Anolis sagrei: one gene and its partners. The protein of the gene in region 1 interacts with the protein of each later gene in a pairwise test. Links are inferred from orthologs where the notes say so. Each region holds a gene or a part of one and is shown in the gene's direction. Other genes may lie near its edges. The genes, in order: EFS, OSTF1 and SH2D3C.

Region 1 (10,594 bases):
GTCTGGTTCAATTCTATCTTTGGTGGAGTTCGGAATGCTCTTTGATTGTAGGTAAAGGTAAAGGTAGTCCCCTGACATTAAGTCCAGTCATGTCCGACTCTGGGATGTGGTGCTCATCTCATTTCTAAGCCAAAGAGCCAGCGTTGTCCGTAGGTAGACACCTCCAAGGTCATCAGGGAGAAGCCAAAACTGCTATTCCATATGCCCTTCAATGTTTGAAATTAGGGAAAGGTAAAGGTTTTCCCCTGACATTAAGTCCAGTCGTGTCTGACTCCGGGGATTGGTGCTCATCTCTATTTCTAGGTCAAAGAGCCAGCATTGTCCATAGACACCTATATGTGGCCAGCATGACTGTATGGAGCAGCGTTACCTTCCCACCGGAGCGGTACCTATTGATCTACTCACATTTGCATATTTTCGAACTGCTAGGTTGGCAGAAGCTGGGGCTGACAGCGCAAGCTTATGCCGCTCCCCGGATTCGAACCTGCAACCTTTCAGTCAACAAGTTTAGCAGCTCAGTGCTTTAACCCACTGCGCCACCGGAGGCTCCAATTGTAGGTGAACTATAAATCCCAGCAACTACAATCCCCAAATGACAAAATCAATTCCCCCCCCCCCCTCAACCCTACCAATATTCAGATTGGGGGGTATCAGGTATTTGTGCCAAATGTGGTCCAGTGAATGAAAAGGACCTGAGGCTGTTAGGAATGGTGGGAGTTGAAGTCCAAAACACCTAGAAGGCCCAAGTTGGGCCAGACCTGCTCTATATTACGGTATAGTATTTTGTATTTCCATCGGATTGGATGGAAATATGCACTTAGTCATCCCCTGTATTCTGAGGCATTTCTGGAGAAAAACGTGGAGCTGGGGGTGTGGGGAGAGAGAGAACGCCCCCACTGCAAGACAATGTGTGGCATTGGGCCCTCAGTTGTGCTGCTGCCATGGTCTCCCAGGAACGTGTGTTTTGTTTCGGAGAGAAATCCCGGCTGGCTTTCCATGCCTTGCTTATCGTGGGCCATTTGCATGGCACTCTGGCAGGGTTTGCCCTGCGGTTGAGGCATGAAGGAAAAAACCGCTGCGAGGGAAAAATACCTGGGCAGCCTTTTGACAACATGAGCTGTCACCATAGCAAAGGATGCAGACCGGGAATCCTAAGAATAGGGATTCCTGGAAGGGGAGGAGGTGGGCAAGATAACAGATTTGGATGCCGGAAACAGTGTCCTCTCTGTTCTTTCAAAAGGGTAAGCAACCTGCCCAGACTCAATCCTCTTCTGGAATTTCCATCCTCGAATACATGAAGTAAAGATGCCTGCAAACCTTCTCTGAGCATGGGCAGAGTGTCACCCTGTCCAAGGATGCCAACATACCTCTGAGCATGAGCAAAATGCTATCATATCCAAAGATGCCTGAAAGCCTCCTCTGAGCATGAGCAGAGTGCCACTCTTTACAAAGATGCCGGTAGATCTTTTCTGAGCGTGAGCAGAGTGCCACTTTTTCCAAAGATATCAGAATATGAGCATGAGCAGAGTGTCAAGGTTTCCAAAGATGCCACAGAGTGCCACTCTTTCCAAAGATACCAGTATATGTCCACTGAGCATGAGCAGAGTGTCAAGACTTCCAAAGATGCCAGAAAGCCTTCTCAGAGCATGGGCAGAGTACTACTCTTTCCAAAGATACCAGAATATGAGCATGAGCAGAGTGTTAAGACTTCCAAAGGTGCCAGAAGGCCTTCTCTGAGCATGAGCAAAGTGCCACTCTTTCCAAAGATGCCGGTAGATCTTTTCTGAGCATGGACAGAGTGCCATTCTTTCCAAAGATACCAGAATATGAGCATGAGCAGAGTGTCAAGACTTCCAAAGATGCCACAGAGTGCCAGTCTTTCAAAGATACCAGTATATGTCCACTGAGCATGAGCAGAGTGTCAAGACTTCCAAAGATGCCTGAAAGCCTCCTCTGAGCATGAGCAAAGTGTCAAGACTTCCAAAGATGCCAGAAGGCCTTCTCTGAGCATGGGCAGAGTGCTACTCTTTCCAAAGATACCAGAATATGAGCATGAGCAGTGTGTCATAACTTCCAAAGATGACAGACGTCCTTTTCTGAGCATGGACAGAATACCACTCTTTCCAAAGATACCAGTATGCATCCTCTGAGCATGAGCATAGTGTCAAGACTTCCAAAGATGCCAGAAGGCCTTCTCTGAGCATGGACAGAGTGCCACTCTTTTCAAAGATGCCTGCAAACCTTCTCTGAGACTGGACAGATTACCACTCTTTCCAAAGATGCCAGGAAACCTTCTATGGGTATAGACAGAGTGCCACCATTTCCAAAGATGCCAGAAGACCTCCTCTGAGCATGAGAAGAGTCCCGAGACTTCTAAAGATGCCAGAAGACCTTCTCTGAGCATAGACAAAGTTCCACCTTTTCCAAAAATGCCAGCAGACCTCTGAGCATGAGCAGAGTGCCACCACTTCCAAATATGCCAGAAGGCCTGCTCTGAGCATGTATAGAATATTACTCTTTCCAAAGATGCCTGCACACCTTTTCTGAGCATGGACAGATTACCAACCATTCCAAAGATGCCGGTCGACTTTTTCTGAGCATGGGCAGAGGGCCACCCTTTCCAAAAATGCTGGCAGGCCCTCTTTGAGCATGGGTAGAGTGCCATCATTACCAAAGATATCAGAAGACATTCTCAGAGCATGAGCAGAGCACCACACTTTCCAGCTGCACATAATAATTAACATCATAAGGTTTTTCTTTAACACACACTTGATCCTGCTACGACTTACTGTAACAAATTCAACATCATTGAAGAAATGCTTCAGGCATGAAAACTCTGCAAAATAAATCAAAATTCACAGCAGTTTCTCTAAATTGGGAATTTGTGACATAACACAGTGGTGGTGCAGCGGGTTAAACCACTGAGCTGCTGAATTTGCTGACCGAAAGGTTGGTGGTTTGAATCCGGGGAGCAGGGTGAGCTCTCATTGTTAGGCCCAGCTTCTGCCAACCTAGCAGTTCGAAAACATGCAAGTGTGAGTATCTCAATATGTACCGCTTCTGCGGGAAGGTAATGGCACTTCATGCAGTCATGCTGGCCACATGACCTTGGAGGCATCTACGGACAACGCTGGCTCTTCGGCTTAGGAATGGAAATGAGCACCACCCCACAGAGCCGGATATAACTAGACTTAATATCAGAGGAAACCTTTATCTTTTAATACAGTGGCATAATTACACTACACCATTTGAGTAAGTTACCTTATACATCTCCCACAATGCTTTGTTGGTCATGTTGATGGGGCAATCCTAAGAATTGTATTCCAAAAAAGTAACAGAATTGTATGACGCTCCAGATTGCCAGTCCAATTTGCTTATAAGCAAGGTATCAAAGGTGTGAGTGCCATTGTTTCAAGCAGCAAAATGCCTTGAGTCAGCCCTGCTTTTGGCCCATGTTATTATTGATGGTGTGACTTTAAACTGTTTCACCTTTTAGTAACTCTAAGGCAATCCTATCACAGTGTTTTTGTGGCAAGATTTGTTGCGTAAAGATTTGCCATGGCCTTTTTCTGAGGCTGAGAGAGTGTGACCTGCCTAAGCTCACCCAGTGCATCTTCATGGCCAAGCAGAGATTGATCCCTGGTTTCCAGAAACATAGTCCAATTCTCAAACCAGTGCTTCACCTAAGCTCATATTCCTTACTTAGGAAATGAAGATGAAATTCTGCTTCTAGTAAGGTATCAGAACTGAATGCAGTTTGACACCGTAGCTTTATCAGCCATGGCTCAATGAAATCAAATAGTGGGAGTTGTAGTTTGGTGAGGCATCAAACAGCAACTCCCAGTATTCCCTAGCATTGAGCCATGTTAGTTAAAGCAGTAACCTAATGCATTAATTCTTTAGTTTAGATGCACTCCAGGAATGGATAATATGGCGTATTGTCAAAGGCTTTCATGGCTGGAATCGCTGGGTTGTTACAGGTTTTTTGGTCTATATGGCTATGTTCTAGAAGCATTCTCTCCTGACGTTTCACCTGCATCTATGGCAGGCATCCTTGGAGGTTGTGAAGTCTGTTGGAAACTAGGAAAATTGAGTTTATATATCTGTGGAAAGTCCAGGGTGGGAGAAAGAACTCTTGTCTGTTGGAGCTGGGTGTGAATGTTTCATTTGGCCATCTTGATTAGCATTTGATGGCCTGACAGTGTTTGGATGTGGCGTGTTACTGCTTGAGGGAATCATTTGTTGAGAGGTGATTAGCTGTCCCTGTTAAAGCCTTGGCAGACCATGCAGAAAGAATCTGCGAAGCCCACCTCCTTCAAGATGAACTGAACCACCTCAACTGGGCTCTCCAGGCCAATGGAGACTCCACCTCAGACTTCAGAAGAGCTGCAAGACCGAGAACAAGCCATGAGAATAAAGACGAAGATCCACCCAGAGGAAAAGTGTTCTTGCCATACATCAAGGGAACCACTGACCGCATAGGGAAGCTGATGAGGAAACACAACATACAAACTATCTACAGACCCACCAAGAAAATCCAACAAATGCTACGTTCAGCAAGGGACAAGAGGGATCCTCTCGCTTCTGCAGGAGTCTACCGTATACCATGCAGCTGTGGACAAGTCTACATAGGGACCACCAAACGCAGCATTGCCCAAACACGAATCAAGGAACATGAAAGGCACTGCAGACTACTTCAACCAGAGAGGTCAGCCATAGCAGAGCACCTGATGAACCAACCTGGACACAGCATATTATTTGAGAACACAGAAATGCTGGACCACTCCAACAACCACCATGTCAGACTACACAGAGAAGCCATTGAAATCCACAAGCACGTGGACAATTTCAACAGAAAGGAGGAAACCATGAAAATGAACACAATCTGGCTACCAGTATTAAAAAAAACTCTAAAATTAGAACAGCACAACAACAGAGAGGAAACAAACAAGGACATCTGATCACCTCTCAACAAAAGTTTGCCCTAGGCACTGCCAGGCAATCAAATGCTAATCAAGGTGGTCAGTTGAAACATTCACACCTAGCTCCAGCAGACAAGAGTCCTTTGTCCCACCCTGGTCATTCCACAGATATATAAACCCTTTTTCCTAGTTCCAACAGACCTCACTACCTCTGAGGATGCTTGCCATAGATGCAGGCGAAACGTCAGGATTGTCTCTAGAACATGGCCATATAGCCCAAAAAAACCTACAACAACCCAGTGATTCCGGCCATGAAAGCCTTCGACAATACATTGTCCCTGTTTGTTTCTTGTCTGGAGTTCACCTGTGTTTGAGTGTTGTTCTTTATGTACTGTTATAATTTTAGAGTTTTTTTAATACTGGTACCCAGATTTTGTTCATTTTCATGGCTTTTTCCTTTCTGATGAAGTTGTCCACATGCTTGTGGATTTCAATGGGGATTCTGAGGATGAGATTTCCACTGAGTCTGTGTCTGTTCCTCAGGTTGAAGTTCAGGAAGGGGCCTGAAGCTGTTAGGAATGGTGGGAGTTGAAGTCCAAAACCCCTGAAGGGAGGACCCAAGTTGGCCCATGTCTGCTGTAAAGGATGCTCCCAAGGTTGCAGCAAAGTGGAGCAGGGTGTTCTTAGGACCCAGGACTGAAAGGCAGGAGGAAAGAGGGAGGGGAAAAAGGAGGCTGGGGGAGGAATAGACGTGTGTGCCCTGGGCGAAGAGGGAGGGGGGCCTCGGGCTCCCAGCCAAATCCATCTGCCTGCCCTTTCCTTGCCTCCCCTCCATCTCCTTCGCCTTCTCTTTCTGCCTTTCTCCGGAAAGCCAAGCGAGAGAGAGAAAGAGAAAGAAGGTAGAAGGGAAAGAAAGGAGGAGAAAGAGCTTGCTGGGTCAGGAAAGGGGAGGAGGAGGAGGGGGGGAGAAGGAGGGAGGAAGAAAGAATGGGGAAGAGCTGAAAGGAGGAGAAGAGCCGGCTCAAGACTTTGGGGGGTGAAAGGCGGAAGAAAGGAGGAGAAAATCCCCCCATCCAGGAGAGGAAGAAAAGGAAAGGGTCAGCAGCCCCCAGCAGATGGGCGAGAGAGAGAAGTAATCCTCTGCGGGGAAAAGCAGATTGCAAGAGAAGGGAGAGAGAGAGAGAGCAAAAAAAGCAGATTGGAAAAGAGGGAAAGACTGCAAAAAAGAAAGAAGAGCAAAAAAAAGCAGACTCCAAAGAAAAGAGAAGGCAGGTGGCAAAAAAGAAGAAAAAGCAGGCTCCAAAGAAGAGAGAAGAAAAGGCAGGTGGCAAAAAAGGAAGAAAGAGAAAAAGCATGCTCCAAAGAAGAGAGAGAAAAGGCAGTTTGGAAAAGAACTGAGAGAGAGAAAGGAGACTGCAAAGAGGGAAAACTGAAGACAATGAACTCAAGGCGCATGCTTTGAGCCTTTTTCTGCCTCCTTTTCCTTGCTCGCTTTCTTTTTCTCTTCTGGTTCCTTCCCTCTCTACCATTCCTTCCTTGTGAGTTTGCCTTCTGTTCTTTCCTTCCCACCGGGTTTTCTGCCTGTCCTTCTGCCTGGTTTGCTTTCTCTTTCTTTCCACCTGATTGTGCTTTCTTTCCACCTGATTTTCTCTCCATCCCCTTGATTCTCTTCCTTCCAAACTTCTCTCTCTCTTCTGCCTGGTTTTTTTCTCTCTCTCATACTTGTTTTCTCCTTCCACTTCATCTTTCTCTCTTTCCACCTGATTCACCTTTTCTGTCTCCACCTCATTTTTGTCTTTCCCACCTCATTTTCTCTCTTCCACACTTGATTTTTCTCTGTTCACCTGATTTGTGTTTTTGAGTTCCTTCTTTCAGATTTACTTTCTCTCTCCACCTGTTCTCTCTTCCAAAACTTCTTTTCCTTTCCTCCTCGGTTTTCTTTCTCTCCACTTGATTTCCTCTCTTTCAGACTTATTTTTCTTTCTCCTCTTGGTTTTTTTGTCTTTGGTTTCCTTCTCCTTCAGACTTTTTTCTTCTGGTCACTTGATAGTTTCTCTCAACTGATCTTTCGTTTGACAGAGTGTATCTGTTTTTCAAACCTTTTCTCTCTTTCCACCTGATTTTTTTCCTTGGTTTTCTCCCTTTTTTCAAACTTGTTTTCCCTCCCACTTGATTTTCTCTTTCCTTCTGATTCATTTTTAAACACCTTTTCTGTCTCCAACTATATTTATCTTTGACTTTCTCTCTTCCAAAACTTATTTTCCCTTCCTACTTGGTTTTCTTTCAATCCACCTGATTTCCTCTTTCAGACTTAGTTTTCTCTCTCCTCTTACTGATCTTTCGTTTGCCTGAGTGTATCTGTTTTTCTATTTTTTTCTCTCTTTCCACCTGATTTTTGTCCTTGTTTTTCTTTCTTTTTTCAAACTTGTTTTCCCTCCCACTTGATTTTCTCTTTTTCCTTCTGATTCGTTTTTAAACACCTTTTCTGTCTCCACCTGTTTTTATCTTTGACTTTCTCTCTTCCAAAACTTCTTTTCCCATCCTACTCGGTTTTCTTTCAATCCATCTGATTTTGTCTTTCAGGCTTATTTTTCTCTCTCCTCTTGTTTTTTTTGTCTTTGATTTCCCTCCTGTTCGAACTTGTTTCTTCTGGTCACTTGATTGTTTCTCTCACCTGATCTTTTTTTTTTTTGCCAGAGTATATCTGTCTTTCAAACTTTTTCTCTCTTTCCAGCTAATTTCTGTCTTTGGTTTCCACCCAGTCTTTCCCTCTCCAATCTCCACTTGATCTTTTCCCCTTCTATCTGATTTTCTCTTTCAAACTTAATTGGTTTTCTCTCATCCAAGCTTATTTTCTCTTTCCATCTGATTATGTTCTAATTTCTGCCTGATTTTCTCTCTCTTTTCAACTTGTTTTCTCCTTCTACTTGATCTTTCTGTCTTTTCACTGATTCCTTTTTTTAAGCATCTTCTCTCTCTTTCTCCTCTTCCACCTGATTTCTTCTTTCTTTGCACCTCTTCATTCATTTTTCTCATCTGCCGTATGCTTTCCTCTCCCTCTCCTTACATCTCTTTCTTTTTCTCCCATCTGGCTTTCTTTCTCCCCCTCTTTTCTCTCCTCCTTTCCTCATCCTCCACCCTCCCTCTCTCCCTCCCATTCATATGGCCAGAGCATCCTCAGCTATAATTTCCCTTTGGAGTCTGGCCATTGCATCCAGCAGTTTAGGTTTGTGCCACTTGGACGGCGCGCCTTTCTCCTGGGCCTGAGGAATTGCTACTTTGGGAGAAGGGGCCCAGCACCCAACCCTTTCATTATGGCTTTGTGTGGCAGCCAGGATCCCAGCTTTACATGCAAAAAGCTCTAAACTCTTCCATTTGTGAGCGGGGCGGCCTGCTTTTCCTTTGAAGAGCGTCCCTCCTCCACCAACGCTTGCAGCAAACCAAGCCTCCCAGCCTCAGCAGAAATTAAATTTTGTCTTTCTACAAAGGAACCAAGGATAATAACACTAAGGATCTGACAGATCTATGGTTCCCCCAAAGTGAGGAACATCTGGGGATCTGTTCGCCAAGCCCTTATTTAGAACCCACAAAGAAAGAGCAAAGCCTTGCAGACTTTTTGAAAGTTTTGTAGTGTTAATGTGCAAAATGCAAAACTCTTTTCTAGCTGACGGTATGAATTTTGCTCCCAACAGCTGATCTGGATTGGTCTAGATTCTGCTACCACTTTTTCTGGATTTTCAAGTAGCCCTTTGTTTGTCAGCTCTTGTTCTTCTCGAGACAGCCCCCATTTGTTTATCTTTGTATGTTTTTATTGCAGCACGTGCAATTTTGGACTTTGTCATTGGTTTGGACTACTGTGCTCTTTCTGGATCTGGATTGGATGAAATAGACCTGCTAGAAATACATCTCTTTTTGCTACAGTTTGTCTTGGGAGTTATCACTGGGTGTGCTTCTTCTGGACTGGAAACAAAACTGTATGCAATTCCTCAAAATTTGCAAAAGATTTTTGAATAGTTCCAGAGGATGATTATGTCCTATGTGCTTGGAAAAATAGCAAGATTGAACTGTTTTCCTCTCTTACTTTCTCTAGAATTCTGCGGCTTTTGAGTACTTAGCTTTCAAGATGAAAAAACTAGGGTTTTTAATGAACCGAAGTTGAATTTGCATGCATTGTGATTTCTATAAAGTTGACTTTTTGGAACTTGCTGGGAATTGGTGTGGCAAAACTCCAAATACATTGGTAATTCTTGAATTTCAGTAAGCATCTGGGCAATACATTTTGCAATTGGGAGGAAGCTGGAAACCAGACCTCAGCATTCAGTGAGATACATATTTTGAGGTCTGGAGTGTGTTTGCCAAAACATCTGGATATTTTGATGCCCATTGCCTTTAATTCTCAGGAGGAAAAAGTAACCTGCAGGATTATTTTTAAATAAACCCAATATTCTGGATTTTCTTTCCATTTATTCTGAATCTGAGAATGAAATTGGGATCCGAAAAGGACACTGGGAACTGTAAATTGGGACTTTCCAGCTGCCATGCTTTCTGTATCTAAGAGGAAAGTTCAGGCTTTCTGGATTTCATGACACTGCAGAATCGGTGTGCCAAGTTGTGTTTGCATGGTTTTTATTTTATTTTTATTTGTGGAGACTTCTTGTAAAGGTCTCTCTTTTGGCTTGCGATTCCTCCCTGCGGTTGCAACACAATTCCCTGTTCAAGCATGTTGAGTTTACGCCCAGCCTGGCTCAATCCATGCAGCCAGGCCTTTTTCCCAAATGGCTTTTCTGGGGCAAATGTGCTGACCAAGAGATTTGGGAAGAGTTAACAAAAACGTCTGGGAATAAAGGAGAGACAGAAAGAGAATTGCAAACTGTCCAGAGAAGCCTTTGTCATCCAGATACAGGGCTTGGTTTCAGTGGAAATGTATATTTTTCTCCTGCTTGGCAAACTTATAATATAACATTGCCAACTTTTCTCAGTTTGCTTTTTGTATCAGTCATCAGGTCTTCCAAAAGAACTGGATCTTTAAAGACTCTTCATTTTCTCAGGAATCTTTTCTTCTTTCCAGAGCAGTTCAAGAATCACAAATGCACATGAAGCCAGGATGTCGAACATCAAAGGAATGGAGAAGGAATAATTGGTAAACACGGGTCCTCGGCGTTGGATAGCTTAACCTGCCTTTGGAGAAGCAAAATGTCTGTAAGTATGCTCAACCTGGAGAGGAAAAGCGAGAATTAATTTATGTTTGCAGGAATCTAGTGTAGAGACAAGGAGGAAGAGCCCTTTTGACCTTGGAGGGCAACTAGGTCACACCATTTTCTGATGCACGCTTGGGCAAACTTTGGCCCTCTGGGTGTTTTGGACTTCAACTCCCACAATTCCTAACAGCCTGCTGGCTGTTAGGAATTGTGAGAGTTGAAGTCCAAAACACCTGGAGGGCCAAAGTTTGCCCATGTCTGAGATAAAGAGATGTATGAACAGAAAATGTATTGGAAAAGGAGGAGAGGGATAAAGTGCTTTTGGCCACTTCTGTTCCTTAAAGTATTTCTATTCGCAACCCAATCTTCCAACAGTGTTTAATCCAGCTATCTCTCAACCTGCAGGGAGTGCCTCAACATAATGGATTTGGAAACCCATCATCCCCAGCCACAGTATCTGGGGGTGGTGTGTTT
Region 2 (11,475 bases), on another chromosome or scaffold:
CCATGAAAGAATACTTCATCACACTAGAGAACAAATCCACTTTAAATTCAGTTTCTCCTCCTGCATAATTCTGGGGTTTGTAGTTTAGGGAGGGGGCTTTAACAGCCTCATTAAACTACATACCCCAGAATTCTGCAGGAGGCAGAAACTGGATTTAAAGTAGATTCATTCTCTAGTGTGATAATACAAATAGTGGAATGAGATTACTACAAATACTACAAATAAAATTGGAAGTCCACTCTCTACTTTTCTAAAGGCTGTTTGGTCTGTAAGATGACCTTCTTGTTGTTATGGCATAAATTGTTATCCTTTGTAGGATTAGGCATAACCCGCTGAGCTCTTGGCGAGGTTGAAAATGGCCTCCAGCCATTCTGAAGACATCTGCCCCTGCATTACCTCTAACTAATATATCCTAGTTCCACATGATTAGAATCAATGGGGTTGGAAGGAACAAAGCCGTAGTTCCTGGTCCCATTTCCCTATTGACATATTTGAAAAATCCAAGGCTTGGACATCCCCTCCACATGCATGAGCTCCATGCCTCAGTTTGGAACTGTGGCCAAGGCGGCTTTCAGATTGTAGGTTCCTGCTTCAGGCCTTCATCTTAAGACCTGACTTAACTTGACTACAGCTGAGTCAAGCCACAGGGATGCAAGTTTGATAGAGGGCTGAATGATTATCTTCCCTTCTTTTAATTGTGGGTTAAAGATTGGCATGGAGATCAAACCTGGTGGCAGATATTTTACTTGCGAGCTGAACAAAAAGATGGCAGCTTGTGAATTAATCTCTTGATTTCATTACCTTGAAAAAGTCATCTTGAGAGATGATTGTGCAGTTTGGAAACTGGTCCTTGAGTTTTCTTGCCAGAGTTGTCTTCCCTCCATTTGTTACACTGCATTATATATTTGAAGAAAGAATGCTAACATAGCAGATTATACTGTACAATACATAATAGCAACTGCAAGGTTCTGATAGCCTGCATTAGTAACATTGTTCATGATTTTAAACCACTCTTTTGTATGAGAAAGCACTATCTACATTGTACTCTGTCAGGCACACTTTGACCAGGAAGTTTTATTCTTTTCAAATAGCACATATTGTCAAATCCAAGGGCATATTTATTGTAGGAATATAAATCCTGCCTCAGATAATTTTTAGTATCTAATTTCATGATAAATACAGGATGGTTATGTCTAAGGAACAAGTTCTTCTCTGTTGTGGAGGTCAGATGTGGCCTACATCAAGTTTTTGCCAAATGACCTGCTAGCTCGATTTGATGAGAGATATAATGTTAAACATTGGTTGGGCACATTGAAGTGTAGCTAATGTGTTGCATTGAATTAGGATGGGTGAAATCACTATCCTCCAATAAAATAGCCTTGGTGCTTTGCTGGTATGCTGCTATAACCATTCCTAGACAGGTTCAAGCTGTCAGATATCATTCATACACTGCCAACCTCAAGATTGGATTACTATCATAACATAATACAGGGCTACCCATGCGCTTACCTTGAAGGCTATAACTAGTGCATTATACAATAGGTAATCAATACTACAGTATACTAAAAACCCTATACTGGCTACTTAGTCAAATTCAAGAGACAACTCTTTGTTTATAAGGCTCTAAAAGGCTCAGGAGAAGGTTAGCTGAGGGGCCACCTTCTTCCACATATACTATCACAGTTTCTCTGCTTTGGAGTGGTGGGAAAATTTTATTTAATGTATCACAGGCAAGTGACATTCTTTTAGTTACAATACAATGGAGGCCTTTTCTGTTGTGGCCTCATTATACGAATTCTTCCACTAATACAAGGGAAGTGTCCAATAGACATTGCCAATCATGCAACTTGAAGACTTGTTTGTTCAGACATTTTCCTGATCTCCATTTTCCTGATCTCCAATTGTCCCACATACATGACAATTTAATGCAGTTCGAAGATAGCTTCCAACTGCGGCAGCCAGGCAACTAACTCCCACAAAAGCATGCAAAATAAAGTCCTTAATGTGCATCAGTGCTCTGTGGTTTATGTAACAGCCTTTGTAGTAAGAATCAAACTTATGGTTTCCTCATAGTATTTCCTTGCATAGTAACATTGAGCCGTTGAGGGGACTCCTAAGCTTGTGCATTTGAAGTGCTCATGCCACTAAATTGCTGCTCCTTCATTATCACCATCTGGACCTCAAACTAGTTCCAGGCTTTCCTATGGAATCATCTGCACAGTGAAACCAGTTTCTTCAATACCGGTTTGAAACAACATTGTAGATTGGGCCTAAGTCTGCCTGTGACTATAAGGGATTCAATAAAATATGCTACTATTATTGGCCTTTTCGTGTCCATGATAATGATGCCTTGCCCTCCCTTGAAAAGCAATTTATTTCCTAGTCTGCATTAAGCGCATAGTGTGAGATCTACATAAGACTTTAGCAAGAGTATTCGATTTTTCTCTGAGGAAGGCAATTGCACTGTCTACCCACATAATTTGGCACCTGGAACAACATCCTGGTGAATCTTGAGAACCAGTACTACAGTAACCATCAGGGTTTGAGTGCTCATAAATTCAGGCACATATACATTTTTTTGCTGGGTTTATCATGTGTATCTTATTTTCATATGCCAAACATGAACAGTCAATAAACAATGTATGTTATGCTTTCATGGATATGGTTTTATTTCCTATTGGTAATCCAGAATCCTATTACCGTATTGCCTGATAGGGTCAGACCCCAGCATTCTTACATTATTTTATGGTTTCCTTGCTTGATTTTCTTTTGTTTTGTGGCACATTGTAAATCACTTTGGAATTTCTGGGTTGTTGTAGGTTTTTTTGGGCTATATGGCCATGTTCTAGAGCAGTGGTTCTCAATCTGGGGTCCCCAGATGTTTTTGACCTACAACTCCCAGAAATCCCAGCCAGTTTACCAGCTGTTAGGATTTCGGGGAGTTGAAGGCCAAAAACATCTGGGGACCCCAGGTTGAGAATCTTCAGAGGTTGTGAGGTCAGACCCCAGGTTGAGAATCACTGTTCTAGAGGCATTCTCTCCTGAGGTCTGACCTCACAACCTCTGAAGATGCCTGCCATAGATGCAGGTGAAAGATCAGGAGATAATGCCTCTAGAACATGGCCATATAGCCCAAAAAAACCAACAACAACCCAGTGATTCCAGCCATGAAAGCTTTCAACAATACACTTTGGAATCTTTTGGAATAAAACGCTTTATGGAAAAATCTATATAAATAAATCGGACATAGATAAGAGAGGCCAGATAGCAGTCTGGTAGCTCTTATCCATGTCTGAGGATAAGAGATACAGGATATGATGTAGGTTGAAAAAATAAAGTGAAAAAAGATGGGAAAAAATATACCCCACATTCAATTATTGATAAAAACTTAGCATATAAAGGAAAGCAGTATTGTAGATTATGTTCACACTCACCCTCCAAGTCCAATGACCAAGATTTTCATAGTTCCTTTTTAATCTAAAAAATTAAATTGAGAGGATTGTGTGTTAGGAACAAATATTTTTTTTCCACAATCTATTTTTGATAGACTGCAAAAGTAAAGTAAAATTAGACATAATATGTAATTCATATCCAAAAATCCCACTTGTAAATATTTGCTGGGAAGGTTATATCTATTTGCAAGTTTCTTTGTTGCCCGTGTATTTGCAAAAGCCTTTTTCTCCCACCCTGTGCCATGTCTGCCGAATCTTAAACTAACACAAAGCCTTCATTTATAGGAGGTTCACCATCAGAAATCGAAATATACAAACCATTTTACATTGTAGGTTGCCCGGATTACAAAATAGAAGCAGCTCAGTAAGGCATTATTTAAACAAGCATTACACATAAAATATGGCACACACACCCCAATAGTTATTGAAGTATCACAGACATAGAGTATACTAGGGACAAGGTATGCAGCACATGTACTTGTTGTGATATCATACATTTTATTACTAAACATTTCAGGGCCCACATCTGTGAGTGTATCTACACTGTATGATTAATGCAGTTTGCCCCCACATGAACTGCCATGGTTCAATGCAATGGAGTCATGGAAATTGTACTTTCACAAGATCTTTAGCTTTCTCTGGCAAAGAGTGCTGGGACCTCAGCAAACTACAATCCCCGTGATTCCATAGCATTGAGTCATAGCAGTTCAAGTAATGTCAAACTGCATTAATTCTACAATGTGGAACGTGTTGTTTAGATACAGATGCAAACTATTAGTGCAAATGAAAAATATTAATATAACCGAAATGAGAAATATAAATGTAATTCACTAGGGCAGTGGTTCTCAACCTGTGGGTCCCCAGGTGTTTTGGCCTACAACTCCCAGAAATACCAGCCAGTTTACCAGATGTTAGGATTTCTGGGAGCTGAAGGCCAAAACATCTGGGGACCCACAGGTTGAGAACCACTGCACTAGTGAAAGAGTTGCTGCTGAGCTATTTATCAACCAAAAGATAAAAGCCTCTGGACTCTGTTACGTAAATTCTGGTGCAATTTAAAAGTTTCAGTCACCAGAGCAGAAAGCCAAGACAAACTAGCAAACACTAAAGAGGGACATTGTGTGTATGTGCCTTCAAGTCCCCTCTTGACTTATGACGATCCTATTAATTTCACAGAGCTTTCTTTGGCAAGGAATACTCAGGGATGGTTTTGCCATTACATACAATGAAAAGACACCCTGGAGTTATATTCTGTACCTTTGTCTGTTATAGACATTGAGTTTGATTCTTCTTTAACTATGAAATATTTCAAAAGGACCATCACAAAATAAATAGAATAAAAATGCCATTTATGACTTCCACTGAGTTATGACCAAATTATATTGATACACAATTTAAGACAATGCTTTGTTACAAATTACAATTATAGCTTTCTTGTGTAGGGTCCTGTGGCAATTCAACATCATGAGGTAGCCCAATCCTTACCACACTTTTAAAAAGGCCACAGTAGATTCACTAGTTATTAGGGTGTATCTATACTATAGGTAAAGGTAAAGGTTTTCCCCTGACATTAAGTCCAGTCGTGTCCGGCTCTGGGGGTTGGTGCTCATCTCCTAAGCCGAAGAGCTGGCGTTGTCCGTAGACACCACCAAGGTCATGTGGCCAGCATGACTGCCTGGAGCACCGTTACCTTCCTGCTGGAGCGATACCTATCTATCTACTCACATTTGCATGTTTTCAAACTGCTAGGTTGGCAGAAGCTGGGGCTGACAGCGGAAGCTCACGCCGCTCCCCGCATTCGAACCTGCAACCTTTCGGTCAACAAATTTAGCAGCTCAGCAGTTTAACCCACTGTGCCACCAGGGGCTATCTATACTATAGATATCTATACTCTAGAACCTATATAAACTAGAGAATTAATGCAGTTTGACACCATTTTATCTGACATAGTTCAATGCTATGGAATCCTGGGAGTTGTAAATTGGTGGGGCTTAGAGTGCTTTGTCAGGGATGTTGAAGAGCCTTGCAAAAATAAAACCCCCAGAGCTCCAGAATTGAGCCATAGCAATTAAACTGGGATTAAACTGCATTAATTCTAGAGTGTAGATGAATCCCTAGTCCATCTACACGACCTATTTCAAAATATTACCATTATCTTTTAGAGCAAAGCTCTTATGCAACCAGCAAACATCAAAGCAATCCAAGAACTGCACCCACTTACCTTCCTTCTTCGAACAAAAAGTGCAAAAAACCACAATAAAGACACCAGGGTCTCCTCTGCCTGTCACTCACAAGCCACGCCCCCTTCTTCTCCAACCCCGTTAGAGAAAGCACCGTCGACCCCGCCCACCAAGGAAAGGGGAGGTGGGCAGTCCTATGCAAATTTGCTACATATAAGCTCCGCCCCTTTCTCCTACACCCCAATAGAGAAGCAAGGCACGATGCGAGGACGTTCTATGCAAATAGGGTATATTCAAGCCCCGCCCCTTCCTCCTCTAACCCGTTACAGAAGCACCATCGGTCTCCCACTCCCAGGAAAGGGGCGGAGCATATGTAAATACACCCACTCCCATAGGCCAAGTCTCTCAAGTCCGAGGGTGTCGCCACGCCCCCTATTCGGGATTGGCTGGGCGCTAAGTCGGGAGAGCTGCCCTGGGCAAGAGTCTTTCCCAATGCCTGCGGTGCCCAAGAGCGGCCACTGGGGGCGCAGCGAGCAGCATCTGCTTCGCAGTGGCGACGCTTCCCACTTCCTCATCTTCGCGAAAAGTAACTTGTGAGCCTTTCGGGGCGGTGGGCGAGGCGATCCCTGCAGGAGGAAGCAAGCTCGATCGACCCACATCCAAAAGGCTTGGAAGGCTCGCCGATCCGACCCAGCTATGTCCAAGCCGCCGCCTAAACCGGCCAAACCAGGTAAAGGGGGGAGATCTAAGCTTTTGAGCCAGGAAAGGGGGAGATCTACACTGTGGAACGAATGCAGTTTGGCATCACTTCCTCGGAGTTGTAGTGAGGCACCAGCACTCTTGGGCAGAGAAGGCTGGAGACCTTGTGGGACTACAACTCCCAGGATTCCATAGCCTTGGGCAGTGTGGCAGTTCAGCATTCGTTTCAACCTTGACGGAAGACTCGCAGGAGAGCGTGAGAAGAAGGGGAAGATCCACCTTGACACGTGGATCACTTTTCCCCCTTCGGAAAAGCATTGCCTTCCTTTCCCTCCACTCCCTGCAGCGTCAGCATACGCTTGGCACGCGAATTAGCACAGAGCCCGGGGCTGAGAGAGTGTGACTTGCTGAGCCAGGATTCGCACCCAGCACTCTCGACTCCAACCACGGTGGCAGCGTAGCTCCTGGGTTGTTGTGAGTTTTGAGGGCTGTATGGCTATGTCCCAGAAGCATTCTCTCCTGACGTTTCGCCTGCATCTATGTCAGGCATCCTCAGAGGTTGTGAGGTCTGTTGGAAACCAGGTTTGTATCTCTTTGGAATGTCCAGGGTGGGAGAAAGAACTCTTGCCTGATTGAGGCTACTGTGGATGTTGCAACTGGCCACTTTGATTAGCACTGAATAGCCTTGCAGCTTCAAAGCCTGGCCGCTTCTTGCCTGGGGGAATCCTTTGTTGGGAGGTGTTAACTGGCCTTGATTGTTTCCTGTATGGAATTCCCCTATTTTCTTAGTGTTCTTTATTTACTGTCCTATTTTAGAGTTTTTTTAAATACCGGTAGCCAGATTTTGTTCATATTCATGGTGTCCTCTTTTCTGTTGAAATTGTCCTCATGCTTGTGGATTTCAGTGGCTTCTCTGTGTGGCCTGACATGGTGGTTGTTACAGTGGTTCAGCAATTCAGTGTTCTCAGATACTATGTTGTGTCCAGGTTGGTTCATCAAGTGTTCTGCTATGGTTGGCTTCTCTGGTTCAATCAGTCTGCAGTGCCTTTCAGTTATTGTCATTTTTATTGAAATAAGAAACAATCAGGGCCAGCTAATCACCTCCCAACAAAGGATTCCCCCAGGCAGGAAGAAGCCAGACCTTGAAACTGCTAGGCCATTAAATGCTAATCAAGGTGGCCAATTACAACATTCACACCTGCCTCAAACAGACAAGAGTTATTTCTCCCACCCTGGACATTGCAGAGATATACAAACCCAATTTTCTTAGTTTCCAACAGACCTCACAGCCTCTGAGCCTTCCACAGATGTAGGCGAAACGTCAGAAGAGAATGCTTCTGGGCCATGGCCATACAGCCCGGAAAACACAGCAACTCAGTGATTCCGGCCATGAAAGTCTTCGATAATACAGCATGGCTCCTGTTTCCTAGAATCTAAAAAAAATCTAACTTGATTTACTCTTGTCCCAAGTCTGTTTTTAAGAGACTTGGAGCTGATAACACTGTAGAATGAACGCAGTTTGTTTGACATTCCCTTTAACTGCCATGGCTCAATGCTATGGAATCATGGGATCTGTAGTTTGGCAGAGAAGGCTGAAGAGGCCTTGGTAAACTACAACTCCCAAGATTCCGTAGCACTGAGCCAAGGCAGTCAAAGTAGTGCCAGGCTGTATTCAGTGGACAGTGTAGACGCGCCCATTGAAAGAGAGAGACAAGAGAGATAGAGAGAGGTAACCCGAAGCCTTCCTCCCTGATCCGGGGTGTGGCCGGCAGCGGCAGGGATCGATCGCGGAGCAGGAAGTGCGGTGCAGACTGCACCAAATGCTCCCTTTCTTCGCCTTCCGCCCGCAGAGCTGAGAGAGAGGGTGATCGATCCAATGGGATCTTCTTACAAACGCTGCTGCGGTTGGTGGCAGCAGTGACTTGGGAGAATTTGTTTTGGTGCATCTTTGAAGGTGCCAAAGCCTTAGGGTGTATCTAAACCAGGCATGGGCAAACGTGGGCCCTCCAGGTGTTTTGGACTCTAACTCCCAAAAGTTGGGATTCACCCAGGCAGGAAGCAGCCAGGCTTTGAAGTTGCAAAGCTATTCAGTGCGAATCAAGATGGCCAATTGCAACATTCACAGTTGTCTCAATCAGACAAGAGTTCTATCTCCCACCCTGGACATTCCACAGATATATAAACCCAATTTCCTTAGTTTCCAACAGACCTCACAACCTCTGAGGATGCCTGCCATAGATGCAGGCGAAATGTCAGGTGAGAATGCTTCTGGAACATAGCCATACAGCCCGGAAAAACCAGCTGTTAGGAATTGTGGGAGTTGGAGTCCAAAACACCTGGAGGACCAAGTGTCCCCATGCCTGATCAAAACTGTAGGATTAATGCAGTTTAATGCCACCGTTAACAGCCATGGCTCCATGCTATGGAATCCTGGGAGTTGCAGTTTGATGAAGTACAAGCACTCTTCGGCAGAGAAGGCTAATCACTGTAAAACTACTGCCATCTCTTAGCATCAAGCAATGGCAGATTTTCAAAATCATATCATAAGCGACTTGAGAAACTGCAAGTTGCTTTTCATGTCAGCAGAGATGTTGCTCAGGGGACGCCCAGATGTGTTACCATCCTGTGGGAGGCTTCTCTCAGGTCCTCGCATGGGAAGCTGGAGCTGACAGACAGGAGCTCGTCTTCAGGTCAGCAGTTCAGCCAGATTTCAACTCCCACAATTCCTAGCAGCATGGGCAAACTAGGGTCCTCCAGGTGTTTTGGACTCCCAACTCCTACAATTCCTAGCAGCCATTAGGCTGTTAAGAATTGTGGGAGTGGAAGTCCACAACACCTGGAGGGCCGAAATTTGCCCATGCCTGGGTTAACCCATTGCACCACCGCGGCTTCCACCACCATGGCAGTCAAAGTGGTGTCAAACTGCATTCATTCTTCAATGGAGATGCATCCGTAGATACCAACAGACACCACCCTGGATACGTCTTCTGAGGCTTAAGGTGCACCTTAAGGTCTAACTGATATCTAATAGGAGCTACAGTCTAACAGTTGACACCCCAAAAGCTGGACTTTACCTCTCCTTGCCTCAACATCTAATATGTTTGATTTAGAATACAACCCACTGTCTCATGGGCGGTTGCCTGGCATCCTTGTTGTTCAGAGTGGAGCCATGTGTAGCATAAAGAGTGTGTGGACTGAGTCAGGTGATGCCATTAGAGGGGCCACAACCAAAAATATCTAAATTTTGTGCAGTGTTTCAGCCTTTGTTTGTTTTTTGTTTTTTGTTTTTTAAATCCCTGTAGCACAATATAACACAAAGTAGTGTTCCCTCGCTACTTTGTGGTTCGCTTTTTTGTGGACTCACTGTTTTGCGGGTTTTTGCCTCCTGGCAACGATGGAGTGTGGAAGGCGGTTTCACCCTCCCCCTCGGGGGAGAGACAGCCAATCATAAAAAAAGAGAGAGAGGCACGGCCTTATAGCCCCTTATAGCTAACAAAGAAAAAAGAAAAAAAGAAGTGTGCGGTTCCTTTAAATCTCTCCTTGCTTCTACCTCACCCTCAGAATGCGATATATATAGATATATATAGCGCATCCCTATCTTGCAGATTTTCACTTTTTGCGGGTGGTCCTGAAACATAACTCCCGCGATAAATGAGGGAACACTGTAACCTCAAAAACAACTGTGTATGTCCAGTTTAAAGGTAAAGGTTACTGCTTGACATTAATTCTGTCATGTCTAACTCTGGGGGGTAGTACTCATCTCCATTTCTAAGGAATGCAGTTACCTTTCTGCCAAACATATTGCTCTATTCACATTTGCATGTTTTTGAACTGCTAAGTTGGCAGAAGCTGGGGCTAACAGTGAAAATTCACCCAGCTCCCCAGATTCAACCCGCTGACCTTTTGGTCAGCAAGTTCAGCAGCTCAGCAGTTTAACCCACTGAACCACCAGAGGCTTCAATTTATATCCTTTATCCAGCATTCTGAATCCAGTAGGCTCTCAGGCTGCTTCTATTCAGCCACATACTAATAGTAATAGTAATAGTAATAATAATAATAATAATAATAATAATAATAATCAACTTTATTTATACCCCGCCACCATCTCCCTGATGGGGACTCGGAGCGGCTTACATGAGGCCAAGCCCAACAACACAATACAATAAATGATGTCAAAACACACACAATAACGTGATAAATTACATGAAACATAAAAATACAACAAACAATTTAAAATTAAAATCAATCATAACGCAGTGATTGTGACAGTGACAGTGAATGGGCCGAATGTACAGAATAAAATACTAAAGCTAAAAACTAAAAACATGGGGTGATATAGGGATGGAGCCGATTATTTGTGAAAGAGAAAATCTTCGGAAATGAGGTCAAGAAGGATCAGAATGTGGATTAAAGAAATCCAGTCTCCACATGGACCTTCAGGAACCGCAAAAAAGTTCCCACATAGTCACAAGGCTCCCCTCGTACCAAATTGATCAAGAGGAATATTTTTTTCCCCTTACCTGGTTGGAAGAAATGAACCAATTGCAGCAGCTCTTTGGATGAGAATCAGAAGTAGAACTCACCTTTTAGCTAAAAAAAAAAAAAAAAGGGGGGGGGGGGAGAGGTGTTCATTTACCTCACTGAGAGCATCATATCCAGTTCCTTCATTTGAATTTTCCAGTAGTGCTTCTGTTTACATAAGTGCTGCGCATGTTGCTCTAGAATGTTTGCTCTGCCACATCCATTCACTGATCAACTGCAGTGAACCGTAGTGATGCAATGGGTTAAACCCTTGTTCCAGCTGAACTGCTGAACTGAAGGTCCACGGTTCGAATCCGGGGAGTGAGGTGAGCTCTTGTCTGTCAGCTCCAGCTTCCCATGCATGGACATGACTGAAGCCTCCCACAGGATGGTAACACATCCAGGCGTCCCCTGGGCAACGTCATTGCAGATGGCCAATTCTCTCACACCAGAAACTACTTGCATTTAATCTCAAATCACTTCTGACACAATAAAGCTACAGTACATTTTATCACTGATTTCGGACTTTCTCCTGACTTTTTAAAGCACGTGTTTTTTGTTTGGATGTGCTCTGCAGCACACATTAGGAGCTTGTGTTTTCTATTTATTTTTATTTATTTGAA
Region 3 (10,804 bases), on another chromosome or scaffold:
TATGTATGTATATATGTGTGTTGCGTGCGTGTATATATATGACAAAATTGGGGCAAACTTCCTGTGCGTGTGTGTGTGTGTGTGTATATATATATATATATATATATACACACACACGCACAGGAAGTTTGCCCCAATTTTGTCATTAGTGGGGATCACAATGCTCTTTGATGTAGGTAAACTATAAATCCCAGTATCTACAATTCCCAAATGTCAAGCTCTATTTTCCCAAACTCCATCTGTGTTCATATTTGTGCATATGGAATATTCGTGCCAAGTTTGTTCCAGATCTATCATTGTTTGAATCCACGGTGCTGTCTGGATGTAGGTGAACTACAACTCCCAAACTCAAGATCAATGCCCATGTTAGTCATGGGAGTTCTGGGTGCCAAGTTTGGTTCAATTCCATCATTGGTGGAGTTCAGAATGATCTTTGATTGTAGGTGAACTATAAATCCCAGCAATGACAACTCCCAAATGACAAAATTAATTTTTTGAGTAATGGTCACTCCTTGGGTTATTAGGTGTCTTGTGGCCAAATTTGGCAGCAATTCGTCCAGTGGTTTTGAGTTCTGTTAATCCCACAAACAAACATTACATTTTTATTTATATAGATATATCTTGTAAACCGCTCTGAGTCCCCTTCGGGATTGAGTCTCCTTCGGGAATAGTGCCCAGGGTGGGAGAAAGAACCCTGGTCTGTGGCAAGTGTGAATGTTGCAATTGGCTGTCTTGATTAGCATTTAATGGCCTTGCAGCTTCTAACCCAGACTGGTTGCCGCCTGGGGATATCCTTTGTTGGGAGGAGTTAGCTGGTGAATGGGTTGTTGTAGGTTTTTCGGGCTATATGACCATGTTCTAGAAGCATTCTCTCCTGACGTTTTGCCTGCATCTATGGCAGGCACCCTCAGAGGTTGTGAAGTCTGTTGGAACTAGGAAATTTGAGTTTATATATCTGTGGAATGTCCACCCAAATTTCCTCGTTCCAACAGACCTCACAACCTCAGAGGGTGCCTGCCATAGATGCAGGCGAAACGTCAGGAGAGAATGCATCTAGAACATGGCCATATAGCCCGAAAAACCTACAACAACCCACTGATTCCAGCCATGGAAGCCTTCGACAATAGCTGGTGAATGTTGCAATTAGTATTGAGTGGCCTTGCAGTTGCTGAGTCAATCAGTGAGGGTATTTATTGGCTGTTGTTGCCTGGAGGCATCCTCTGTTTGTCTTTCTAGTTTTTTTTTTCATAACTTTTATTATGTTTTCGCACAGTTGAGTTGAGCTTCAACGTTTTTACCAATTTTAACATATTATCCACAACATAAATTCCTTGAATTAAATAAAGATGGGTGCTGTCCCCTCCTGGACCTAACCGCTTCATATATTATTTCCAAAACATCATTGTTTACACTGCAGGTTTGCTTCCTTGCCCTTCAGCACAGACATGTGCTATCAATTTCCCCCATATATTCCAAAAAACATTTAATTTCCAAATTATTTTTTAGTCTTATGTCAATTTATCGTTTATTGCTATATTCCACACTTCTTTGTACCAGTCTTCTATTATTATTGTTATTATTATTATTCTATCTGAAAATCATGTTTTTATTTCCAATTTTTCGCTATTATCAGCCTCACTGATGTTAGTAAATTGGAAATTAACTCCTTTGTTGTGTTGTCGAAGGCTTTCATGGCTGGAACCACTGGGTTGTGGTGAGTTTTCCAGGCTGTCTGGCCATGTTCCAGAAGCACTCTCTCCTGACATTTCACCCACATCTATGGCAGGCATCCTCAGAGGTTGTGAGATCTGTTGGAAACTAGACAAGTGGGGTTTATAGATCTGTGGAATAATGTCCAGGGTGGGAGAAGGAGCTCTTGTCTGCTTGAAGCAAATGGGTAATGTTGTCATTGACCACCTTGATTAGCATTTAATGGCCTTGCAGCTTGAAAGCTTGGCTGGTTTTGATATTGGAGGTGACCTCCCCCTCCCCCAGGACTCTGTAAAAGATGGTTCAAAACCAAGGAATTCATAGTTTTACCAAGGACACCAGGTTGGAATGATCTCATAATCCCCTATTTTGCAAACATTAATAATTTAAACCAATCAAAAGGACATTTCTTCATTTTTTTTCCTGTTACCTGCCTCCCTTCTACCCATTGGCTGAGAGGCCGAAGCGGCGCTGGCTTTCTCATTGGCTGAGGCATGCCTAAGCCGGCCGCACCTCCCCTCTAGCTGATGACTCCAACCAATCAGCGTGAAGCCGGCTAAGGGGGACGGGGGCGGGAAGTTTGAATTTGACAGCTCTGTTTCTCTATAAAAATGTACTGTTCTGTCTTGCAAAACATGTCAGTTTTTGGCAAGGGATTGCAGCTTGACATCCGTACCAACTGGAACAAAATAAGGGCAATTTGATGGCATTTTCTTCAATTTGGTGAAACTTTTATCGGGAAAAATCAGGGAAAATTCTTTGGGTGCTTCTATCTGTCTTGCCAGGGTGAACGGACTCTCTTTGGTGGGTCTGACTGGTCTCTGTCTCCTGGCAAAGACCCCTAAATTCTTGCTCGATATTAGTTTCATGTCAGGGAAATTCCTGATATTAAACAATCAGGGCCAGTTAACACCTCACAACAAAGGATCCCCCAGGCAGCAACCAGCCAAGCTTTGAAGCTGCGAGGCCATTCAATGCTAATCAAGGTGGGCAATTGCCTCCAAGAGACAAGAGTTCTTTCTCCCACCCTGGACATTCTGGAGATTCTGGTTTTCCGAAACATGCAGCCAAAAAAACTCACAGCAAACCAGTGCTTCTGGCCATAGAAGCCTTCGGTTACGACAACACACTCCTTGAATAAGTAATGGCAAAGGGATCCCTATGAGAAGGCCACCTTAAGCAGAAGTCAGCATGATGGTACACAACAACAAGGACACATGCCTTGGGATGTATTTTTCCATGGGGAAAAGGGAAGTGCCCTTAAGATATGGTTGCACAGCTCCTGTTCCATCCCGCAGGGGCACTGGGGGCGGAGTGACCTTTGTGCTCCTGGTGCTCCACTCTGCTCTTTGGCTGAGTCGCTTCCTTGCTTCCTTTCTCCCCAGGCTGATGTTTTCTCCCTTTTTTTGTAGGATCTCTCATCAGATAAGAGGCCTAACAATGGCTCCATTTGAAGGCTGGCGGACCCTGTCCAGTTTCAAGGGGCTATTTAGTTTCCACAGAGCTTGAAATGACAGTCATGGGTCCGTTATGTGTCTTTCTTTAGGGGCAATCAATCCTCCAACTTAAGCTACTGAGGGAGAACAGGAAGGGGCCTGGGGCTGTTAGGAATTGTGGGAATTCCAATACATCTGGTAGGAAGGTCAAAGTTTACCCATGCCTGGCATATCCAAAATTTATGAATTAGATACAACTTACTAATTACTAATAATTTCGTATATTGTCTATATGAAATTGACGGTTGAATCTGTAGATCTGGGGACTGCAGATACAGAGGACTCACTGTATGTAATTCAATTTGGAAAAAGGAAGTAAAAAAAATACAGTATGCACAAGAGAACTCAGGCTTAGCTTCTCACTCTAACGTAGTGTTGCCTGAACTGACTTTAAGGTAAACAACTTGTTGTTTAATAGACACCCATGAAATTGTTGGTTCCTGTGAATTTCCTTCAGAACTTTCTCATGTAATCTCTCTGAACGACACAATCTATTTTTGTCTCTAATTTATAAACACAGACTTTTGTTGATCTCTGTAGCTATACGTGGATTCCCATGGGAACCCTCCTTATCACTCAGATCTTTACTTGATTCCTTATTTGCTGCTGCTTCTTCTGGCTCCCCTGACTGCCCTTGAGGCCCTGCACCTTCCGAGTCAGTTTTCTCACCGAGAGAACCATCATTTCTCAGACCTGAATTTCCCAGACTTGAGAGCCCATGAACAGGAACATAGAAAACTTCCAAAATTAACACTTGACTTGAACCAGGAACAAGAGAACTCAGGCTTAGCTTCTCACTCTAACGCAGCATTGCCTGAACTTAAGATAAACAACGTATGTAATAGACACCCATGAAATAATTCATAGATACAACATAAGTCCACAATCAAGAAGATATAACTAGTAAAACTTGATAAGGAGTACATGAACAGGAACATAGAAAACTTTCAGAATATCAAATCCAAAATCAAGGCTTGATTTGATCCAAGAACAAAAGAACTCAGGCTTAGTTTCTCACTAATGTAGTTGCCTGAACTGACCTTAAGGTAAACAACTTGTTGCTTAATAGACACCCATGAAATAATTCAGTTTCCTGTGAATTTCCTTCACAGCTTTCCCACGTAATCTCTCTGAATTTTCAGCTCTGATTTATAAACAAAGACCTTTGTTGATCTCTGTAACTACACCTGGGTTCTAATGGTAGCCCTCTTTACTCAACTCTTCACTCGATTCCTTAGCTGCTGTTGCTACTTTTGACTACTCTGAATACCTTGAGGCTTTGCACTTTCGAAGCCAGATTTCTCACAAAGAGAACCATCATTCCCCAGACTTGAATTTCCCAGACTTGAGAGCCCATCACTTTGTGCCACAGGGAAGCGCACAATCCTCTCTAAACCATCAGTTAAGCCATCAGCCTCTGGTGGCTGATCTACAACAACATGGTTGAAGCAAGACTCAAAATGAGAGAAGTGACCGATAGGAACAAGTGGAGAACAAGAAGCAAACAAGCAGACCCTGCAAATTGATGGGACAAACACTAAGAATTATTATTTATTTATTTATTTATTTACATCGTTTCTACCCCGCCCTTCTCACCCCCGAGGGGGGACTCAGGGCAGCTGACATGGGCAACAGTTCAATGCCATAATATCAATACAACAACATAAAATCAAATACATAAAAAATTAACAATAACATTAATTAAAATCACATAGTCATATACTAATGTAGTCGCCTAATCAAAATCACATATCCGTTTACTATTGTCATAATCCCGTGGTCCAGTTCAGTGTCTAAGTGCTGCTAAGACCACTAGCTGAAAGCCTGACTCCAAAACCACAACTTTAGTTTTTTCCTAAAAGTGAGGAGGGAGGACGCCGATCTAATTTCATTGGGGAGCGAATTCCACAAGCGAGGGGCCGCCACTGAGAAGGCCCTGTCCCTCGTCCCCACCAGATGCGTTTGTGACCCCGGTGGGACCGAAAGCAGGGCCTCCCCAGTAGATCTTAAATTACGAGGTGGAACGTAGAGAGAGATACGTTCGGATAAGTAAGCTGGGCCGGAGCCATATAGGGTTTTATAGGCCAAGACCAGCACTTTGAATTGTGCTTGGAGGTGGACCGGCAGCCAGTGGAGCTGACGCAGCCGGGGGGTGGTATGCTCCCTGTATGGCGCTCCGGTGAGTAATCTGGCTGCTGCCCGTTGGACTAGTTGAAGTCTCTGAACAGTCTTCAAAGGCAACCCCACGTAGAGTGCATTGCAGTAATCTATTCGGAATGTAACCAGAGCAGTAATAGTTGCAATAATCTATTCGGGATTACTGTTCGGGATAAGTACATTGCAGTAATCTATTTGGGATGTAACCGGGATGTAGGAAGAAGAAGAGGAGGAGGAGGAGGAGGGAAAGGAGGTAAATGAACCAGGAGTTTGAGATTTTTTTTAATTTTGGGGTTTTAGCTCCCAGAATCCCCCATTAAAAGAAAAATAATTTTGGCAGAATCCGCGATGGACCACTGACGTCTTACAACCAAAGGAGCAAGTGTTGGGAAAGGGCACGCAGAAGCATCGTGTGCCTTTTTTTTCCCTCTCCTTTCTTGAGTTTCATTCTCTCTTTTTTTAAAAAAAGGATCAAAGCAAACGCAGAGAGTAGGGTTGTGCAAGTGCAGAGGAAATGTGAGCAAAACAGAAAGCGAGAAAGGGCGGGGGGAGAGGGTGGGAAAGGAAGGCAGGCTCGGTGCCAAGAGGGCTTGATGAAAGTTGTAAGCCTGGTGCACATTTCTTCTCCTTCGTTGGAACCCAAACCATGGAAGGAAGCCAGAAGAGGGGAGGAGGCTTCAAAAGTAAGTGAACACACCGCAGGACACCGATTTGCTCACTCTGGCCTTGGCTGGAACATAGGTCGGCATTACATCTCTATAGAGTAATGGCATCTGTGTGAAAGAGGAAAGTCTCTCCTGGACTGTGATGAAGTTGCCAAGGTCTTTTCTGGCAAACAAACAAGGCAAATGTGGGCTAGGCAAAACTATGGTTAGGTGGATCTGTACAGTATTTCTCAACCTTCCTAATACCGCGACCCCTTAATACAGTTCCTCATGTGGTGGTGACCCCCAACCATAACATCATTTTTGTTGCTACTTCATAACTGTAATTTTGCTACTGTTATGAATCGTAAGGTAAATATCTGATATGCAATATGTATCTTCATTCATTAGACTAAATTTGGCACAAATACCCGCTACATCCAAATTTGAATACTGGTGGATTCGGTGTGGGATGTGTGTGCATTTTGTCATTTGGGAGTTGTAGTTGCTGGGATTTAAACTTCACCTACAATTAAAGAGCATTCTGAACTCCACCAAGGATGGAGTTGAACCAAACTTGGCACACAGAACTCCCATGACCAACAGAAAATACTGGAAAAGTTTGGTGGGTGGGCATTGATCTTAAATTTTGGAGTTGTAGTTCACCTACATCCAGAGAGCATTGTGGATTCAAACAAGGATGGATCTGGACCAAACTTGACATGGATATGCCCAAATATGACCAACAGAAAATACTGGAAGAGTTTGGTGGGTGGGCATTGACTTTGAATTTTGGAGTTGTAGTTCACCTACATCCAGAGAGCATTGTGGATTCAAACAAGGATGGATCTGGACCAAATTTGACATGGATATGCCCAAATATAACCAACAGAAAATACTGGAAGAGTTTGGTGGGTGGGCATTGATCTTAAATTTTGGAGTTGTAGTTCACCTACATCCAGAGAGCATTATGGATTCAAACAAGGATGGATCTGGACCAAACTTGACATGGATACTCAGTATGCCCAAATATGAACACTGGTGGAGTTTGGGGGAAATAGACCTTGGTATTTGGGAGTTGTAGTGGCTGGGATTTATAGTTCACCTACAATCAAAGAGCATCCTGAACCCACCAATGACTGAATTGGGCCAAACCCACATAGAACCCCCATGACCAACATAAAATACTGTATTTTCTGATGGTTTTTGGCAACCCCTCTGACACCCTCTTGCGACCCCCCCCCCCCCCCGGGGTTCCGACCCTTGAGTTAAAAAACACCGGGTTAAGCAAACGAACTAAGAGGGTGATTATCCCCAGTGCTTCCTCTTCACCCTGGAAAGAAGTGACGAGCGGAGTGCCATCAGCAGGGTTTTGTCCTAGGCCCGGTCCTGTTCAGGATCTCTATTCATGACTTAGATGAAGGATTAGAAGGCATGATCATCAAGTTTGCAGATGACACCAAATTGAGAGGAAGAGCCAATACTCCAGAAGATAGGAGCAGAATTCAAAACGATCTTAACAGATTAAAGAGATGGGCCAAAACTAACTCAATGAAGTTCAACAGTGACAAATGCAAGATACTCCACTTTGGCAGGAAAAACGAAATGCAAAGATACAGAATGTGGGACGCCTTGCTCGAGAGATCTTGGAGTCCGAGGGGGGAGAAAGGAACATGAGCCAACAATGTGATGTGGCGGCAAAAAAAGCCAACTGGATTTTGACCTTTATAGTGTCCAAATTCAGAGAAGTCATGCTACCCATTCTCTATTCTGCCATAGTTAGACTACATCTGGAATACCGTGTCCAATTCTGGGTACCACAATTGAATGGAGATGTTGACAAGCTGGAATGTGTCCAGAGGAGGGCAACTAAAATGATCAAGGGTCTGGAAAACAAGCCCTATGAGGAGCTGCTTAAAAAGCTGGACATGTTTAGCCTGAAGAAGAGAAGGCTTAGAGGAGATATGTTTAATTATGTGAAAGGAAGTCATAGGGAGGAGGGACCAAGCTTGTTTTCTGCTGCGATGGAGACTACGACGCAATGGAGCAATGGCTTTAAACTACAAGAAAGGAGTTTCCACTTGAACACGTGGAAGAACTTTCTGACTGTGAGAGCTGTTCAGCAATGGAACTCTCTGTCCCAGAGTGTGGTGGAAGCTCCTTCTTTGAAATCAGAGCCTGGATGGCCAAATGTCAGGGGTGCTTTGAATGCAATATTCCTGCTTCTTGGCAAAATGGGTTGGACTGGATGGCCCACGAGGTCTCTTCCAACTCTATGCTTCTAGGTCTCATAGGCTTTTGACAGGTGAGTGTTGCATGGACAAGAAGGACCTTCCTTCTCAGATAGGACCCATTCTACTTGTGAAATTGCCATCCAGAATGAAGCTGGACCCTCATCTAAGACAGGTTCCTCTAGTGACCTAAATCCCCTTCTCAGAAATGATACCTGGTTTTGCAATGATGGTGTCACTGTGAGCCAAAGAACCTTACTCACTCATTCACTTACTTACTTACTTAGTAACTTAGGCGGTCCCTCGCAGTCCAAGGATGATGGTCCCCCAAGTGTAATATCCTGGTGGTGGGTCCGTAAGTGACTGTGGAGCCCTATTCTTGATCTGCATCTTCTCCCACAGTGAGGGCATTGGTTTCCAGGTGGAAGGCGGTCCCGGTTGGGGTTGGCTTGATGCGCCTTCCTCTTGGCACGTTTCTCTCTTTCACCCTCCATGCATGCCTCTTCAAATTCTGCAGCACTGCTGGTCACAGCTGACCTCCAGCTGGAGTGCTCAAGGGCCAGGGCTTCCCAGTTCTCAGTGTCTATGCCAGAGTTTTTAAGGTTGGCTTTGAGCCCATCTTTCAATCTCTTTTCCTGCCCACCAACATTCCATTTTCCGTTCTTGAGTTCGGAATAGAGCAACTGCTTTGGGAGACGGTGGTCGGGCATCCGGACAACATGGCCAGCCCAGCGGAGTTGATGGCGGAGGACCATCGTTTCAATGCTGGTAGTCTTTTCTTCTTCCAGCATGCTGACATTTGTCCGCTTGTCTTCCCAAGAGATTTTCAGGATTTTCAGAAGGCAGCTCTGATGGAATTGTTCCAGGAGTTGCATGTGACGTCTGTAGATACTCCATGTTTCGCAGGCGTATAGCAGTGTTGGGAGGACAATAGCTTTATAAACAAACACCTTGGTCTCCCTATGGATGTCTCGGTCCTCAAACACTCTCTGCTTCATTTGGAAAAATGCTGCACTCGCAGAGCTCAGGCGGTGTTGAATTTCAGTGTCAATGTTGACTTTTGTGGAGAGGTGGCTGCCAAGGGAGCGGAAATTGTCAACATTTCTAATGTTACATCATTAAGCTGTATTTCTGGCATTGGAGAGGGGTTGGCTGGTGACTGATGGAAAAGCACTTTGGTTTTCTCACTGTTAAATGACAGGCCAAGCTTCTCGTATGCTTCTGCAAAGGTGTTCAGAGTGGCTTGTAGTTCTTCTTCTGAATGTGCACAGATGACGTTGTCATCAGCATACTGGAGTTCTATAACAGATGTATTGTAAGCTTGGTTTTGGCTTTCTGTTTGCTGAGGTTAAACAGCTTGCCATCTGTCCGATAGATGATTTCCACTCCGGTGGGAAGCTTCCCATCAACAAGATGACGTATCATAGCAATGACGATGGAAAATAAGGTTGGGGCAATAACACATCCCTATTCAAGCCAAAGAACCAACCCAAGGAGGTTGGGAGGCTTGATGGGCCTCCATAATGGAAATAGATGAGTTGCATCGGCCATGTGGTGCTTGCGGCTTGCTAACAGCGATCAGAGCACTTTGTCACCTCAATGTCCAATGTCCTCCAGCACTGGAAATGGAGTGGCCATCATGAGGCCCAATTATTAAGGTGCTTTACAGTACCTTATTTGTGGGAATGTCAGCGAATCTTCTGCTTGAAATCATTCTTTACATGAAAGTCAGTCCAATCCATGTTTGATTTAGAGATGCAGAGACATAGAAAGGGAGAGCAGCATGGGCCTTAGAGTCATCCATCATCCACAGGTAGCATCAGCTGGGCAGCAGAGGGAGGTAAATTCGAGAGTAATTTTCTGACTTTGGTGCTTAGGTTTCAAGATGAGGAAAAATCTTTAGTCCCTTTAGTTGCGCTCCACCCCAGAGGAGTGAGGACATACTACTTGGCTATTTTTAGACAGATCACTTCTAAATACGTATAATTTCACATATGCAAACTTCCTGAAAACGTGTATCCTCTTTTTTGAGCTGCTGAGTAAGCAAGCAGCCTACAACCTTGTAAATAAAAGCTTTTTCAGCCCAACATTTGAGGGCATGGGCAAAGTTTGGCCCTCCCTCCAGGTGTTTTAGACTCCCAACTCCCACAATTCCTAACCATCAGTAGCTGTTAGGAATTGTGGGAGTTGTAGTCCAAAACACCTGGAGGGAAGGCTGAAGTTGGCCCATGCCTTTGTTCTCTTGGAACTGGACACTTAAGTCAATCAAGGGATCATCTGCATACCCACGTTGTAGGAGCTGGAGTCCAAAACACCTGGAGGGAGAGCCAAATTGGCCCATGACTTTGTCCTCTTGGAACTGGACACTTAAGTCAATCAAGGGATTGATGTCAGGCACCACTCCCTCCCCCCCCTCATAATTAAGGGATAAGGATTTATAGTTCTGCAAAGGGCAAGGGCACAAGACTATACAACAAGGGTTAAATTCTTGGTCACATTGCCAAGGCACTGACAACAACAAGGACCCCACGAGGCTTTTTTGGGAAATGGCTGGAGCTTGGGACTT

What was found.
Region 2: the proteins of EFS (region 1) and OSTF1 interact in binary tests that used the Homo sapiens proteins (3 or more experiments, as listed by UniProt). The two-hybrid records come from large-scale screens. The link is inferred for Anolis sagrei from reciprocal best matches to the Homo sapiens genes EFS and OSTF1.
Region 3: the proteins of EFS (region 1) and SH2D3C interact in a two-hybrid assay, tested with the Homo sapiens proteins (2 studies listed by BioGRID and IntAct). The two-hybrid records come from large-scale screens. The link is inferred for Anolis sagrei from reciprocal best matches to the Homo sapiens genes EFS and SH2D3C.

What each region holds. Positions count from the first base shown.
Region 1 is NC_090026.1:9,003,916-9,014,509, forward strand, and holds the start of EFS (embryonal Fyn-associated substrate), read left to right. Parts: upstream 1-5,654; 5' UTR 5,655-5,821; intron 5,822-5,828; exon of another isoform or gene 5,829-8,896; intron 8,897-8,902; exon of another isoform or gene 8,903-9,990; 5' UTR 9,991-10,115; coding exon 10,116-10,121; intron 10,122-10,594. UniProt on the Homo sapiens protein: Docking protein which plays a central coordinating role for tyrosine-kinase-based signaling related to cell adhesion. May serve as an activator of SRC and a downstream effector. Interacts with the SH3 domain of FYN and with CRK, SRC, and YES.
Region 2 is NC_090022.1:224,607,479-224,618,953, forward strand, and holds the start of OSTF1 (osteoclast-stimulating factor 1), read left to right. Parts: upstream 1-6,097; 5' UTR 6,098-6,328; coding exon 6,329-6,362; intron 6,363-11,475. Other genes in the region: NMRK1 (nicotinamide riboside kinase 1), read right to left, coding at 802-892, 3,435-3,463.
Region 3 is NC_090031.1:16,138,445-16,149,248, forward strand, and holds the start of SH2D3C (SH2 domain-containing protein 3C), read left to right. Parts: upstream 1-5,916; 5' UTR 5,917-6,009; coding exon 6,010-6,046; intron 6,047-10,804. UniProt on the Homo sapiens protein: Acts as an adapter protein that mediates cell signaling pathways involved in cellular functions such as cell adhesion and migration, tissue organization, and the regulation of the immune response.